Daphnia pulex: one gene and its partner. The protein of the gene in region 1 interacts with the protein of each later gene in a biochemical or structural test. Links are inferred from orthologs where the notes say so. Each region holds a gene or a part of one and is shown on either strand. Other genes may lie near its edges.

The links.
Region 2: the proteins of E3 ubiquitin-protein ligase RFWD3-like (region 1) and replication protein A 32 kDa subunit-like form a complex in vitro, tested with the Homo sapiens proteins (3 studies listed by BioGRID, with this or other methods). The link is inferred for Daphnia pulex from reciprocal best matches to the Homo sapiens genes RFWD3 and RPA2.

The regions. Positions count from the first base shown.
Region 1 is NC_060027.1:2,170,275-2,174,367, reverse strand, and holds the start of E3 ubiquitin-protein ligase RFWD3-like, read right to left. Parts: upstream 2,801-4,093; 5' UTR 2,366-2,800; coding exon 2,098-2,365; intron 2,037-2,097; coding exon 1,906-2,036; intron 1,843-1,905; coding exon 1,648-1,842; intron 1,586-1,647; coding exon 831-1,585; intron 756-830; coding exon 566-755; intron 499-565; coding exon 342-498; intron 273-341; coding exon 79-272; 3' UTR 1-78. Other genes in the region: nose resistant to fluoxetine protein 6-like, read left to right, coding at 3,114-3,432, 3,793-4,093. UniProt on the Homo sapiens protein: E3 ubiquitin-protein ligase required for the repair of DNA interstrand cross-links (ICL) in response to DNA damage. Plays a key role in RPA-mediated DNA damage signaling and repair.
Region 2 is NC_060017.1:2,573,451-2,576,956, reverse strand, and holds replication protein A 32 kDa subunit-like, read right to left. Parts: upstream 2,069-3,506; 5' UTR 1,926-2,068; coding exon 1,907-1,925; intron 1,848-1,906; coding exon 1,762-1,847; intron 1,705-1,761; coding exon 1,603-1,704; intron 1,540-1,602; coding exon 1,426-1,539; intron 1,367-1,425; coding exon 1,175-1,366; intron 1,118-1,174; coding exon 965-1,117; intron 904-964; coding exon 824-903; intron 761-823; coding exon 679-760; 3' UTR 501-678; downstream 1-500. Other genes in the region: sodium-coupled monocarboxylate transporter 1-like, read left to right, coding at 1-132, 211-343; CWF19-like protein 2, read left to right, coding at 2,397-2,480, 2,567-3,448. UniProt on the Homo sapiens protein: As part of the heterotrimeric replication protein A complex (RPA/RP-A), binds and stabilizes single-stranded DNA intermediates that form during DNA replication or upon DNA stress.

The DNA of each region.
Region 1 (4,093 bases):
GTACAAAATCTCAGAGTTTTGGTATAGAAATGACCATAGTGGTAATAATAATTACTGAAAAAGTGAAATATTCCTGGTTTATGTCCACTTGTAGAAACGGGCATTCTTTTCCGACAATGCAGCAACGAAATGGACGCCATTGACGCGGATAGGGAGGAGATCCAAAACGGGATCTGAACAGGGCAGCTTTTGAAGCACTGCCGATGAATTGACGTCCCATAGCGAAATACACTGGGCGGCCTCTTGATGGGCAGCCACCATTAGCTGCTTGCCTGATGCAAATAATTAAAACAAAAATTAATTTGTGGGTCAATTCAGGCGTGAAATAATCAATAATTTACCTTCAGTGGAGCCCGGGGCAGTAAGGAGGCACGAACGGGAGAGCAACTTCTGCTGTGATCCAGCTTGGATGGTCGTAATAGCGTGACTACTGCAAAGGCCGGTGGACGAATCGCTACCCAATGGAGTCCAAGAAGGAGCACAGACGGTATGGCGAGCCTAAATGGATGACCCTTATTACCGCCAGATTCTAATTGAAATGTCAAGAACGAATGTGAATTATTACTTGGGGATGAGCGGTGCTGGGCCTAGACGAGGCCAGAAAATGGCGCGTCTCTGGCTCAATGCAAAGCGATGTGAAGGACCCATCCAAAGGCAGTGTATGTGGAACAAAGCCGTCTGTCCGTGACTCGTGGAAGACACACGACTGCAAACGCTGAACAAAGAGTCCACCTCTGGGAAAAGTGGTCACCGGACTAGCAAAAGAAAATCAAATTCAGTCAATTATCCAGGAACAAAAACAAAATTACATAAAACATTAAAAGGTTCACCTGAATGGAAGGTAAGCAAGTCCAGTGACGGGCGACATGCTGTTGGGCTCTGACCAGCACTCAACTGCATCGCCGGATTTGCGCATATCGTAAAGTAAAACCTTGCCAGTGCCAGTTCCAACGAAAAATTGGTATTTGTTGTCGGCATTCCATGCGCAACTCCAAAGAGGTGCATCGCACTGGTACGAAGTGACTGAGATGTCACTGTGGACGTTTACCAGCTTGGCCGTCTTGTCCAACGAAACAGTCAGAAGCAGGTCGTTCTGTTCCAGGTGGAAGGCCATGTCGCGGATGGGCTTTCGGTGAACGGCGATGTAACCGACAGTGCGAAATCCTCCCAGTGCGTTTACTTTCTTGATACCAGTGCCCGTCAAGTGCGAATTTGTTCCAGCATAAGACACTACGAGCAGAGTTAAATGTTCGCTATAAGACATGACGCGACACTGGCCTTCTTTACAAAGCTCCAGTGTCGAATCCAGAACTAAACGACGGCCTAGTATTCCAGGAGGTTGAGATCCAAATAGAGGACCTGCCCCCGCTAAAGGTAATTCGGCTCCCTGGCCACTGGCTGCTAAACAGGCGCCTGACAAAGCTGCACGGCATTGTTGTAACTCTTGTTGCAATCGTAAAATATCTTGCTCTTTGGCGGTTGTTTGAATTTGAAGTTTGTGATACTCTAACTCTAACCTACGACGGTTTTCTTTCTCCTGCTCTAGAGCTGACAAGGCTCTGTCTCTTTCTGTCGTGTCTATTGCCTGGAAATCAACCATTTTGATATTAGAGTAGGAAACAATTGTTTTTAACAAATTTTAGTTACCTTTAAATTTCTAACATATATAGGCCTAATATCCTTCTTTTGAGCGGACTCATTACACTGTGGACACCTGGCCCCCTTGCCACCAGAGTGAACCCAACGTTCTATGCATGCTTGCCCAAACAAATGTCCACATTTTAACGACACAACTCTGTGGGATCCAGAGTTGCTCCAAACATCAAAACATACTGGGCAGACCTATAACCATATGAATAATGCAGGATAACACAAAAAAAGTACTCCACTTAGCAACAGACTTACTTGTCCATCTTCTTCATCATCTACAGCAGTTTTGTCTTCTTTTTCTGGGAGAAAACCGCCAGCAGAATCTGATTTAGATTTCCTTGAAGGAGGCCCCCCATCTTCAGTTTCTTCATCATCATTATCTTCATCTAATGAATGAGAAATATAAAAATTATTAATGAGAAAAGGGAGGAAAATTCTTTAGCATACCTCTAGGCCTGCGTCGCCTGCCTCTGATCAAAATAGGGGACAATGGTCCATTACTTTCAGCTAAACTATCACGACTATCCTGATCTGTTTGAGCTTCATTCGTGATTTCCAGTTCTACGGTACCAATTCTGTTTTCAGTAGACGAAGGCTGGACAACAATAACACTTGCTCTTTGGTTACGTTGTTCAAGTGAGGGACCTGCAACTTGGACTTCTTCCGGATCAGCAGTATCTAATCTTACTGCTGATTCGTCGATGTCGCTGGCCATACTTGGAATATTTCAGCACGTTTTAATTAACACATTGGGCACGCACGGCACGAGTAATAAATTAATTGAAAACGAAAATGGGCGAGTATATGGTCAACTTGAGTTGGTCAACAAAAATCTTCATAAAGAAATTTTATTGACTACAACTCCATCTTTGAAGCAATGGTGAATCAAATTTACATCCGTCACCAGATGGCCCTCGGAACTTTATTAGCTCATTCATTTTGACATACGAACGGGTCGAACGCCGTGTCGCCGGATCGATTTTGAAAATAACATTTGCTTTCGACAGAGGAAATTCTTGTTTACATTAGAACTCGACGTAAATGGCACTAAAAATCTATTATCAAAGAAATAAAATGAAAAAGAAACGTTTTCATTTACCTCGATCAGAATAATTTACTGTAAACGACTCTGCCTCGACCAATAAATTCAACACTTCAAACATTGTAGACCACGCGGTGCACCAGAAACTTAGACCATAAGGTATGTGTGTTAATTTTTGATTTCATTGTGATCGGTTTGGGATCAAGCGGAAATACCATTGTGCAACGTTTAATCTAGGGGATATAGTCACAAAGCATAGATAAACCACCTTGTCACTTGTTCCAAAGATAAAAAGTTCCAACTTCCAAAGAGTACAATTGTATGAGACTGATGAGATTGATTAAGGGTATAAATTCTCTGGACGTGTTCATTAGTCGTCAGTCAAAAATTTCGGAGCTGTTGTCCTTTTCAGTCACTCGTTATGGGTTCCATGCTGTGGAAGATTACCTTTCTTCTACTTTGGGTAGGAGGCCAGTCTCAACAATTCATAAATCCGGCGTTAATCATTTCACCGGAGAGTGAACGATCTTTTGAAAAGTGGAGGAATATAATTAGCCAACAACTTCAGGAAAGTGGGTCCACTTTTGATTTAACGTCAACACTTCACAACGTTTTCGCCGCACTCAAATCTTCTTCATTCCCAACGGCGGTGGCTAAAAATATTAGTCAACAATGTTTACAAGATAGCCAGTATTACGTTCATAACCTTTACGCCAACCAAAGTCTATGGGCCTTACAAAGTAAGTTGAAAAAGAAGCTGCATTAATAATAATCATGGAATAATATTCAAAACTGAACTATGTGTTTAAAAAAATGTTGTAATAGCGTGTTTACGATATCGTTGAATGACATGGCGGATGTGTGTGGAAGATCTGTCCTATTAGTCATGTTACAAAGGTTGAATTGTATTGATTATTATATTCTCTGTCGTATAAAGAACTGATAATGAAGGATGCAAAAGGTGACTAGAGATTGAACAATGACCTTATTTTCACTTACTAATGACATCTGGTAACGATGATTAGATAACAAGTGATTATCACATCTCGAAATTTGGGACAAACATTGTGTAATTCATTAATTATTTATTTAAAAAATAGTGCAAGAGTCTTCAGCCAAGCTTCCACCGGGGTTATTTGGATCACGTAACATTCACGCGGATGGACTTTTCGATGAATGTCTGGCCGTTCGGGCACCCGGATTCGATGGGCAATACTGCAGCGTCTACTTTCAACCAGTGGCAGTCGATCAGTCCGAAATTCTACCTCCGAGATCATTCAATGAGAACCACGAAGGAAGAAGGAACTTTGTCACTATTTTTCAGCTTTTGGGATTATTGGGATCGGATCGGGTCGAGCCAAAAGTGTCCGTGGCGGATGCCAGCACTTACATTTATCCTAG
Region 2 (3,506 bases), on another chromosome or scaffold:
GTGGTACACGGTATTGAGCGTGGTGATCGTCTTAATCATTGGTACCATTGGAAGCATTTTGTCTGAGCCGCAAGATCCTGCAAAACTAAATCCCAAGTTACTTTACCGAGTAAATCATAACCGTCTATTAAAGTAAGATAACTTTAGCAAAACATTTTCTACATGTTAGCGAGTTTAGCTTTAATTTTTGAATCAATAATGTTATCATAGTAAAGCGGCACTCCAACCAAGTGATGAAACCGATGGCGCTACGGTTATTCGTAGGCAACGAAACGGGATATTACTGTGGGAACTTCCAAGAAGATTATCACCAATAATAGAAGTAAATTTGCCTGATACCTAACATTTACGTCTTCATTCTATGATGTAAATAACATTTTACTTCGAATGCATCACAAACACTTGCCATAGCAATTAGACATGATCCAGTTATCCGTGGTCATTATGTACCTGATATTTGAATATACTGAAAATGAATTATCCGATGTAGATCCGATGGATTTTAGACGATTTAAGCTTTTATGTTGAAAGACAGACAGAACTGAACCATTTCAAAACAGTTGGAATTAATAGCTTCAGGATAAATTCCGCAGACTGAGTCGACACAGTTTTGAGTATAATGTATCTATTCTAGTAGATATTTAATGAGAATGAAGGTACAGTACATCTTAATCTTGTTTAGCTATCGGTCGATTTGAAATGGTCTTCGTCCACCGTAGAGTAAATATGTCCCTCAGAACAAAGGAATTCCAAAGCAGCACTAATAAAAAATTTAAATTAAAATCAATGAAAACATGTTTGTCTTCCACATCAATACACTTACTCTACATCACGTGGGATCATTCTTCCTCTGACAGAATTGTAGATCTGCGACTTTTCCATGCCGGTTTCCGCTGTTGTTGCCTAAAAATAACATGGTTTTTTATTGTTTGAATTTGATCACATAGATGACAAATGAATCTACCTGAATGATGGTATAAACCATAGATTGAAAAGATGACAGTCCTGACATGATACCGTTTGCCACATTGGAAGTAGCTGAGGATGAAGAAGCTAAAGGCCCAGTCATTCCACCACCCATCACTGAGTTATTCATTGATTGTCCTGTTCCTTCTCCCTTTATAAATAAAAATCATTTACCTTTGTTCAAGCATTCATTTGAGTTGTTCATTACCATTTTTCTCTTCATCTGTCTCAACTTCATACGAACCCATTGCGTCTCTAGCAAGTGGGTTGTTATTTCGTTAGCAGTTGTTAGTTTCGCAACACGAAATGCCATTACGTGACGGCGATCCTGTGTCTGTCTAATAGATCCAACAACTCGACAAAAATTCCCTTCCACAACTTGAAAAGGTGATTGGACATTCTGCAAAAATAAATTGGAATAAATAATGAGTGAAAACATATGCAGAACACAATACATACCCCTTCACCCTCAATCCACTGAACAACTTCAATAGAACCTGTATCATCCCTTACAGTGTACGAAACATTAGTCTGTTTGGATTCAATCTGTTCGACAGTACCTACAAATGTAACCTAAAAGAGATAAGTTGTAAATCATAAGTAAATGTAACTCAAAGTGAAGATAAATATGGATACCATGTGGGCTTCAGTATCTTCTATCTTTAGTTTTTCATCAATTTCATCCAATATATCTTTGATATTAACTGGAATGATATTATGAGCCCGTTGAGCTCCACCCTGTGAATGAAACAAACATGAGAAAATGTCTATGAGATATTAAAAATGTCTTCAAACCTTCTTTTCTCCAGGAGTATTAACTGTGCCTCCTGGAGTTCCAGCATTAAAGAAACCACCGGCCATTGTTCCATTTCCAAAATCGCCTGTAATGGAAAGAATGTAAAGTTAATAACACAAAGCTTGACAAAATTGTATTTATTACTTGCTGATTGATCCCACATTATAGATTAATTCAATTATTCGTTTAAATTTGTCGTTCTCAAAACAAAACGTAATGCACGTGAATCACTTCAATCAGGTATGCAGACGTTGTAACTTGTACTGCGTCTATCCACTGTTTTCTTTTCTTTATAGATGGCGGGAAAACTAGTTTTCGCAATCCGATGTTGACGAGTTGGAAACATTTGATATCAATATTGAATTAAATGGCATCTTTTTACAATTTTTACTACAATTGATAATTTTAATTAACGTTTTTATTAACGTTTTTAAAATTTATTATATGCTTGTAAAAAAAATTAAAAGTTGAACCGGATGACTCTGGTTGAACAAATTGGCAATGCTTGTTTTCGCTTCAAAACGACAGACGTCAAAACGAATGTTTTCGTTTTTGTAAATTTGATTGAAAATAATTTGTGTTGCTTTTCTAGTTTTCTTTTTCAAGTTTTAGCCCATAGAAATAATCCTTTGAAATGTCGATAAATTTTGAAAATTCTAAAGACTTAGATGAAATGAGACAAATGAAACGAGAAGCGAGAGAGGCAATTCTTGCGAAGGTAATACACCATCACATTTCACCAATTTGATTTAATAGTATTTTACTGGTATACATTTGGTTTAGTTTATTTTTCTTTTGTTTTAGGCAGAAAGAGATTATGAGAAAAGGAAAGCTAAAAAAGAATTGGCCAAATTAAATGGTGAAGACAAATGGATGCTGCCTGAGTTGGATGCTCAATTGTCCGGTAAATCCAAAAAAAGTAAAAAAGAAAAAAAACATAAAAAGGATAAGAAACATAAAAAAAGCAAGAAAAAAGACAATTCCTCTGATTCTGATGAATGGGTAGAGAAAACATCTGAAACAACAGAACCCGCTTCATCTGCTCCTCTTGAGAGAGATGAATGGATGAGTGTGCCTTCTTTGCTTCCAATTTTCAGTAACAGTAGCATGCCTCCCAAACGAACATCCCTGAACAAGAATGAAGAAATTGCAAGAAAGACCATGATGGAAAAACCAGGGCAGTCAAGTAGAGAATTAAATCCATACTGGAAAAATGGAGGAACTGGTTTGCCACCTGAAAGAACTGAAGCAGAATCCTCAAAAAGGCATGATAGTCCTAATAGTCATGCAGTATCTTCCAATCCTTCAGAAAGAAAAAAACAAAGAACCTCAGATAGAGATTCCACACATGTTAGTAGCAGAGATAGATCAAGATCCCGAGAGCGAAAACATCCAGAAAACATTAGAAAATCATCAACCGTTCAAGAAAGATTCAGAAGACCAAGTGAGAGTGACGAAGTTGTTTCCCATACAAACAAACGGTTTTATTCTTCGCAACCAGGATGGAAGAAAAATGAAGCCAAATCAAGCAACCCAGTGGATTCATCGACTTCTTCGTCGTCTTCAGAAAGTGAAGAAGAAAAACAGGATACACAGCCACCACAAGAAGATGACAAAATATGGACTGAACAGGAATTAAATGCTCTCGGAGCAAAAATCATCAAAGCCGAAATCATGGGACAAGCGGTTATTTATTATATTTTACGTATTATGTTTTCATTTAATAATATAAATTTGTTTGTAG